Cricetulus griseus: one gene and its partner. The protein of the gene in region 1 binds, or shares a complex with, the protein of each later gene. Links are inferred from orthologs where the notes say so. Each region holds a gene or a part of one and is shown on either strand. Other genes may lie near its edges. The genes, in order: Polr3b and Polr3gl.

The links.
Region 2: Polr3b (region 1) and Polr3gl share a complex: the UniProt entries of both Homo sapiens proteins name them as parts of the RNA polymerase III (Pol III) complex. The link is inferred for Cricetulus griseus from reciprocal best matches to the Homo sapiens genes POLR3B and POLR3GL.

The regions. Positions count from the first base shown.
Region 1 is NW_023276806.1:150,815,742-150,820,241, forward strand, and holds the start of Polr3b (DNA-directed RNA polymerase III subunit RPC2), read right to left. Parts: upstream 2,917-4,500; 5' UTR 2,809-2,916; coding exon 2,737-2,808; intron 2,595-2,736; exon of another isoform or gene 2,209-2,594; intron 1-2,208. UniProt on the Homo sapiens protein: Catalytic core component of RNA polymerase III (Pol III), a DNA-dependent RNA polymerase which synthesizes small non-coding RNAs using the four ribonucleoside triphosphates as substrates.
Region 2 is NW_023276806.1:59,906,390-59,910,924, reverse strand, and holds the start of Polr3gl (DNA-directed RNA polymerase III subunit RPC7-like), read right to left. Parts: upstream 3,089-4,535; 5' UTR 3,034-3,088; coding exon 2,932-3,033; intron 2,813-2,931; exon of another isoform or gene 2,672-2,812; intron 1-2,671. UniProt on the Homo sapiens protein: DNA-dependent RNA polymerase catalyzes the transcription of DNA into RNA using the four ribonucleoside triphosphates as substrates. Specific peripheric component of RNA polymerase III which synthesizes small RNAs, such as 5S rRNA and tRNAs.

The DNA of each region.
Region 1 (4,500 bases):
ACCATTGCTTATTCTACTTATTCTGAGATTTCTTTTCTCTTGTATATTTCTACTTTCTTCTATTTTTTTCCCCGCATTCCTATTTGTAGATTAAATTCTGTGTATCCATGATATGACTTCCTTGGAAAGGTAATAAATCTTTCCTACAGTATCTGCCACAGTCCATTGTGTTTCTAATACTGTCAGTTGTTTTTTCCAGTCTTAGTCTCTGTAGTGGGGTTCTGAGGTCTTGGCATTTTTTCCTAAATGAATAACCATAATATTACTGACTTTGCCAAAGAAGTGCCTAGAATCGATAGGCAGTGGTGGAGCAGGCCTTTAATCCCAGCACTCAGGAAGCAGAGACAGGCAGATCTCTGTGAGTTCAAGACCAGCCTGGTCTATAGAGCTAGTTCCAGGACAGGCTCCAAAGTTACACTGAGAATCTGTGTCTTGAAAAACTAAACAGAAGTGCCTAAAATGACACCAGAGACTCATAAATTAGCATTGCACTTATTTATACTAATTTTTTTTCAGTTTTGTGAAATAAACTACAATTTCATTGCTGAACTAATGAAGATTAATCTGAACAGTACTTATTAGAGCAATATTTAATAAGATGAATTAAATGAAAATGTCATTTCCTTTTAGCTATTCACTATTCAACTTTCTAACTGATACTCCCTCTACAACTTTCTAGACAGGAGCTCCATTTTATTTGAGTTAATCATTTCTAGTGTATTTTTCCTTCATATTTTTTTCTCTCTTTTTTTTTTTTCTCGAGACAGGGTTTCTCTGTAGCTTTGGAGCCTATCCTGGCACTCGCTCTGGAGACCAGGCTGGCCTCGAACTCACAGAGATCCGCCTGCCTCTGCCTCCCGAGTGCTGGGATTAAAGGTGTGTGCCACCAACGCCCGGCTTTTCCTTCATATTAAATCATGGTAGGAGAAGTTATTCAAGCTTTGAGGGCCAGTTATTACTGACTGATAACAAATATTTGTTGATCTTCTTGAGTACTTACTTGGTAGTGATGTCTTGGCAACTGAAAACAAGTGAACAGATGGGCATGCTTCCTGACTTCAGGAGTTTTTAACATAATAAAGGAGCATGTAAGCAAAGGCAATGACACTTAGCAGGCACTGTGATAAAGGTGTGCACAGGGCTCTTTCTAATTCAGTTTGATTTGGTCCCATTTGGATTGCTGGGTTGGTGGAGAGGCTTATCAGGGTATAGAAACTTTTCAGAAGTTGGCAGACTTGAGGACACTGAGGATACGTATGCCTCGCTATGGGTTAGACAAGGCCAGGAGGGTGGATACATGGAAGAGTCTTAAGGTAGTGGATAAGATATGACAGCAGTTTCAGGTGAGCTAGTGTAGTATGGTTCAATGCTGAGTCAGGGCTGGGGAACACAAACAGCAGAAAGCATTGTGAGGCCTGTGTGGAAGATGCAGAGAGTCTCAGCTGATGCTGCAGTTAAAGATGACTGTAAGGAACTTTAAGGAGGTTCCTTACATTAACACTGTAAAACAATACTGTGATCTACAAAATTCACACTTGAGGACCATTACAAAAAAATTTCAAAGAGAAAAAAAGTAAAATACCCTCATAAAGTTTTAAGTTTAAGTTTACAATTTTGTATTGGGCCACCGCTCTTAACTACTCTTAGCTACAGGAACTACAGGTTGGACATGCCTGTGAGCAGCTCCTGTTGATTAGGAGTAGTGAAACACTGTGAAATAAGCAGAACACAAACATAAATACTGTGTACTTTCCCTAACAGAATTTTGGAACTCAGTCTGAGCCACCTACCTCCACACTCCAAATGCTGGGATTATGGGCCCCCAAGCCCTGTTTATATGCAACTCCCTGTTTAAGTGTGATAGTGGGAACAAAACTTGGGTCCTTTGGAAGAGCAGCCAGTGGTATACTCAACCCTTACACTACCTCTCTGTGCCCTAAGAAGGTTTATCATTCAGTACAGTTACTGGTCATGTCACCTCCCTATTTAACCCTTCAAAGGTACCTCCTTTTACCTTCATCTTTTCTATCAACTCTCCCACTTCCCCACTATTACTGGATTTATTTCAGTTCCTCAGAGACACCTGATGGTATTGTTGAAGGTCAGGCATAACCTGTCCCTTTGCCTGAATTTCTCCCCTGATCATCTTCAATGCTAATTCTCCCATTCTATGCCAAAGATTTCGAGGCTCAGAGGGACTGTATGTACCTTCTCAGGATGGATTTAATCATGTCAGTAACTGAACTTCATCAGGCAATTCACTGTGTAGCAATTATTAACTTTTGAGAATCCGATATAGCGCCCCTCAGAAAATACAAGATCAAAAACTGGCGGAAATATTCAAGATCCTTAAAATACGTCTGCAGTCCAAAAAAAAAAAAAAAAAACTCTGAGCTAAAAGGAACACGATACGATGGCCGGCGTGGGATTCACATTAACTTTGGCACCAAAGCCGGGACCTCATGAACAGCGCCAAGATGACTCCGGTTCCCCAAGGAAGAATAAGAGGGCCAGTTCTTGACAGTGCAGACCGGCATTAGGAAGGCTTCACCCGAGAGCCATTCGCGGAGGTTCCTAGCCCGGGACACGCCAGACCCAGACCCGAAGACTCACACGCGCGCAGCTCTGGGCATGCGCAGAAGCCTCGGGCCCGCCCCCGCCGGCACCCGTGCTCTCCCGGCAACGCCTCCTGAGTCGCCTCCAGCCTCTTCCGCTGCCTGTCCTCGCGGCGCTTACCTCTACAGTCGGGATCGGCGCAGCCAGCTGCTCCGGGCTGAGGCTCCCGAACTCCTCCGCCAGCACGTCCATTCCCCTCGGGGTAAAGGAAGAAGTCAACAGAAAGTTCACATCCGCCCCGCTGCTCCAAGCAAACAGCACGCGGAGAATGGTGTGCGTTGTCCTAAAGTGTCCCGGCTGCGCTTGTTTACTGGAGGCACTTCAGAAAGGTTCCGCTTAGTCCGGGCCCAACCTGCGGTGTTACCCGGAAGTGACCGACCCGGATGTGGGAAACTGCGCCCCCTGGTGTAGTTCCAAGGTTTCGCCTGGCTAATCCTAGACCCCCGACAGACAGGGTTCTTGCCAATTCCTCAGAATGATTGAGCACGGCCAAATATAGTGTTCTAAATGTATAACTAATCAGAAGAATTACTGGATAGCAGACAGTGACCACAACACGAGCTCCTGAAGCAGAGAATTCGTTTAATTTATTCTAAAGCTATATGTGTTGCCTAGCACAAAAGAGCAACAACTGTTAACCGTGTCTAGTAAAAGTGGTTGGTTACATAATTAGTGGTGCCTGCGTGTAATGGAAAGCCATCAACCGCCGTCAAATGGCCATGACAGGTTGCACTGTAGTAAGTCCTAACACCGTAGTGTTACTTAAACTCGGAGGTGACGGTCTCAGATAAATTACCCGCACACAAGTTTAGCGTGGAAAGATTTACTCGTTTAAATGGGTAGGTGAATGATAAATAAGTAAATTAAATCAATAAATAGGAAGGACATTACTGCATCTAGGTATTGTGGAGGAGAAAGTTTACTGTTGATAAAAGGGTGAGCATAGCTAGAGACAGGGACATCTGGGATAGTCTAGAGTGGACATGACCCTGAGCCATGTGAGGAGGAGGGGCAGGAACAGCAGCAATGAGGGCAAAAAGTTAAAGCAGGGGGAAGAGAGCAGGTAACCAAAATGTTTGGATTATATAGGGAAGGGTGGCCAGCCCCTGGGCTGAAGAGTTGGGGGAAGGAGGGAGAGGGCGGGTTAAGCCAGCCATACCCTGTAACAGGAAGTCCCTGAGGGAGGCTGGAAGAACCTGGTGGCCAGGTTTACTTTGATAAATATGCCTACTTCTTCAGGGATTTACGACCTAACTGTAGAGAAAATCCAATAATTGATATTAGAATAGCTAATTAGCAGTTTTGGGGAAAGACAGATCTAAACCCTACATAGATTAGATATTTCAATGTATGTTAACAAAACATAGACGAAGGTGTAAGAGGTGGGGAGTCTGTAGAGTGCTTGGTAGGTGGAACCAAGGCATGGGTTTGGTCCACACTACAACGAATAAACCTGGGGCTCATAGACATCTCACAGGGTGGCACATACCTCTAATCCCAGCATTTAGAAGGTGAGGGTAGGAGGATCGATCAGAAGCTCAAGGGCATCATTAGCTAGCTACCAAGTTTGAGGCCAGCCTGGGCTACATGAAACCCTGTCTCCAAAGAAAATGGAATGTATTAAAAAACATTGATATGGTGAAGGATTTCAAGGATGAAAACAGAGAAAGCGTAAGATTTGCTAATAGAATTTTAAAGTTTTACCATTCTGTGAAAAAAACCTTAAATTTCAGAACACACTGATAAAAACAAAACAAAACAAAACAAAAAACTCTGTGAGTAGTTAAACATACAGAGAGAGTTGGTAGAAGAAAGACAAAGGGATTTATTTGCCTCTGTAATTTGAAAATGAGTTCATGCAAATCCAATGGGAAGAAAAATCCC
Region 2 (4,535 bases), about 91 Mb from region 1:
TTCAAACAACAAATTGTGAAATGACATAAGTGATTATCTGTTATCATAAATGTCATGACCAAGTTATATAGAGACAGGAGGTTGATAATATGAAGTATGAGGGGCAAGGGGGGAATATGATATAAAGCCATGTTTACTTGTTATTTTCTTTTTGTGTTTTCATTCTTGGTATAAAGTTGAATTTATTGAGTGTCCTATTTACTTATAAAAACACAAATTTATGCATAAATACAGAGTAAACTAAGAATATATCTCCAGATCCTAGGAATGGGCAGGAAAGATGGCTCAGCAGGTAGAGGCATTTGCTGCATGACAGTGCAAGTCTAAGGACCTGAGTTCCATCCCCGAGACCACAAAAAAGTGAAATGGAGATATAACATTACATGGCTGGCCTCTGCAACATGCATGCTGTGGCATGTGTGTGTACATATGACAATAATAAAGTTTAAACTTGGAAAATAGTAATCAGTAAACACTACATTAGGATTATGGAATAATGCACACTATCCCTATATTACTATATTTGCAAGTTTTGTAGAATAAATGTATATCCTACAGTTAACAAGTCAAAAGCATGTTCTATTTTTAACAATGCAGAGGACGGCTAGAGAGATGGTTCAGTGGTTGAGAGCACTGACTGCTCTTCTAGAGGACCTGGGATTAGATTCCCAGCACCCACACAGTGACTCACAACTGTTTGTAACCCTGGTCCCAGAGAATCCAACATCCTTTTCTGCTCTCTGAGGGCACACAAGTGGTGCAAAGACATACATGCAGACAAAACACACCACAAACAAGAAGAATGCAGAGGGCTGGTGATACACCCCGACCTAGCAATCCATGAGGTTAAAATTCAATCTTTAGTATATATTAAAAAAAAAAACCAAAAAAAAAGTCAAATAAAATCCCACAAAAAATAAAACTTGCTTAGCACAAAGCTATGGGCCAATACTGTCATTCAGAAGTTTGAGTTCATCTTTGGCTCTATAGTGAGTCTGGGGCCAGCCTGAGCTCTATGAGTCCCTGTCTTAAAAAGGGTGTGTGTGAAGAGATAGCTCACCGGTTAAGAGCATGCATGGTAGCTCTTCCATAGGACCCTGACTGATTCCCAGCACCCACATGACAGCTCACAACTGTCTGTACTCCAGTTTTAGGGGATCTGATGCCTTTTTTTGGATTCTGCAGGCACTGCATACACATACTGCCCAGACATGCAGGTGAAACACCCCTCCACACACACATACACAAAAGTGTGATGTTGGTGCAACCTTCCTGTTGTAACCCCTTCCAATGGAAATGTAGAATATACTTCATTCCCCTGACCTCCACATACGTGCCATGGCACACACGCCACCTCGCCCCACCAATAATAAATTGAACAAATCTAAAGAAAAAGTTGCCGGGCATTGGTGGCACATGCCTTTAATCCCAGCACTTGGGAGGCAGAGGCAGGCGGATCTCTGTGAGTTTGAGACCAGCCTGGTCTATAAGAGCTAGTTCCAGGACAGCCTGCAAAGCCACAGAGAAACCCTGTCTCGAAAAACAAAACCAAAAAAAAAAAAAAGTTAAATGGTGGAATAACCTGAAAAGAACTATTGAATTCTTTTATTAAAGATGCTGGCACAGGGGTAGAGGTGTAGCTCAGGGACAGAGTTATTGCTCAGTGTTTGTAAGGCTGGATTCACTCTTCACAGTTATTTTTTTTTTTTAATTTGGGGTGTAGTGATGAAAGCCTGTTATCCCAGCCTTTCAAGAAGGCTGAGACAGAGGATCAGAAGTTCGAGGCCAATTCTGCTTGCACTGCATAGCAAGAACCTGTCTCAAAAATATTTTTCCACATAGTCATTAAATAACACTTTACTGGATAGATTTTAGTAGGGGGTTTTCTGCGATCCTCATTGTCCAGCACTGTGTCTGGCATGTAGTAGGTGCTCAGTAAACAGCTGTTGCTTGAACAAATGGCCACATGAGTCTATAGACCTTCTACACTTGAGACCTTGTGAGACATAAAGCCTCCCTTCCCGTTCTCTTTGCTGTTTTCCTTCTCTGATCTGAGAGTAATTATAAAACATTAATGCAATAAACCACCAATTTAAAGGCCCTTAATTATATACTATGTTGTCTTCTTTTCTTCCCTTATTATATTAGGAATTTTAATTCGTCCCCTTGACAGGGGCGCTGTTTCCCACAAATCAATTCCATTCAATTAACGTTTATTGAGCACAATGTGTTCAGTACCACAGTCTGTTCCCCCCTCCCCCAAAGCTTCGGTCCAAAGAATAGAAACTTCAAAAGAGAACCTGCAATCCTAGCACATAGGAGTCTGCCAATAAAAACGATGCGAGGGATGGAGGGAGAGTGCGGGACCCACGAAATGGTAAATACTCTTGCTGCCAAGTGGCCAGGAAAACGGACTCGCTCACGTTGTCCTCTGACCTCTATGCGCAAGCCGTGGCGCGCACGCCCACGCCCCCCCCCCACACGAATACACAAATAATGTGATTTTTAAAATTAAGAGAGATTCCAATAGTGCTGAACAGGCAGGGTCGGGCTGGGGCTCAATTATTAATTCAGGAAAGGCGGTCCAGGAAAGCGGTGGGAAGGGGAGAGCGTTTCAGCTGAGTGGACAGCTAGATAACGGGAGTCTGTCGGGCTCTTGACGGGGGCTGACCTTAATAGATGCGCGAGAGGCTGGCACTGTAACTGAGGCTGTGTGTCCCCAGGCACGACAGCAAGCCCTGTGTCTGTCTCTGATGCACAGTCAACAAACACAGCAATGGGAGGGAGCCCAGGGAGGGAGGGAGGGGACCCGGGAGGGGGCCGATCCGACAGGCTGACGGAGGCGTTGTCCTATGGTGCTGTCGGCCGCGGAGGACTAATTCGGGAAGTACCGGACCAAACCGGGTCGGAGCCACCGAGTTCAAGCCTTACCTGCCGTCCCTCCCCCACTCCGGGGCCCACGCAGCGGCCAACTTGAAATTCGCTTTTCTTCCTCCAGCCCGCGCTCTGGGCCCGCCTCCCCGAGCTCCCCATTGGTGGGTTTCCCGGCCAATCTTGGCGAGCGGAGGAGGGGGAGGAGGGGAGGAGGGGGAGGGAGCGAGCTAACCGGAACTGAGGCTTGGCCGAGTCGGGCGAGCTGAGACCTGGGGCTGCAGAGCCTCCGCCTCGGCCCGGGCGGAACGGACTCTGGATGGCAAGACGACCTGCTCCTCGGAGCTCATCCAGGCACGTGGCTGAGCCCGCAGAGGAGAGCCGCTGCTGGGAAACGTCCTCCTGGGTGGGTGGGAGAGACTAGACTGCTGCCCAACGGCGAGGTCGCTCCCAGCACCCGCCTGGAGGCTCCCACCCGCCAGACTCCAGCTCCAGGGGCTCTGGCGCCCCCTTCTGGCCTTACGACGTGCGCGCCACCCTCCCACCCCCACTCGCAAGGTCTTTTGGTGACTTTCCGACCCTCTCTTTAATCTTATGCAGTCTCTATCCAACGCCACCAATACATACTTAAAAAAAAAAAAAGACGACAATATGGTTACCCAGTCTAGGGTAGCCTTGAACTCATACCCTTGCCTCTGCTGTTACTGTGTGCTACCAAGCTCAGCCCCAAAATGCGCCCCCAACACCCCGTGGATTGGAGCTGTGTCTGAGAAATGCCAGCAGGGAGGGGGCTTGGGGGATCAGACAAGTCGTTGGGGAGAGAAGGCAGGAACCCAGTGTCCTTCAAGCCCCTGGGTAAAGATGGGGGCGGGGGGAGTCGTGCTTTCGTGCAGTAGAAAGAGGGAAATACCTCAGGATGGAGAGAAAGCTATGAGCAGTCAACAAGAATATGCCAGACGTCAGAGAAAATGGTCTCTAGACTGGGAAGTTGTATGTGGATGGATTGCCCAGTGCCCAGTTCTTGGAATAGTATGAAAACATAGTGATGAAACTTGGGGGGAACTTGCTTAACCTCATTACCATTTGTTACAAGAAGACAACAGTTCCCATCTTACTGAGGTGATGTACGCTAAGCAAAGCACTCGACATATCAATATCTAGTATAAGTGGGTGTTTTCCCTATAAATATTTCTCTTCCTTTCCCAGTAACATTTTTTTTTCATCTGTATATGGTGGCCTCCATCGTTTTGAGTTCTCTAGGATCCTTGGTAAGCTTTCCAAACCCTTGGTACCTTCCAACTGGACACAAACTCATCCCTAAAATATGCAGATGGAAGCCTTGGTAACCATAGAGACAGGGCAGGTGGCACGGAGAGGCAGAGGCAGTGAGAGCAACAGATAGGAAGAGACAAGGAGTGATTCAGGCAGGGCCCTTCAAGTGAGACGGGAAAATGGAGTAAAGGGGTGTGTGATGAGAGCGAGCACCGTGTAACAGGGTTCCGTCACTGCTCTGCCCCTTTCCTCTCTCCTGCGGACAGCCCTTGAAATACGGAGGGAAAGGGAATCCGAGAATGCCCCTTGCCCTAAAAATGCCCTGGGAACCACCTTCCTTACATTCCTAAGGGACCCAAGGGAACTGAGATCCAAGTGTCTCTGGGGTGTGT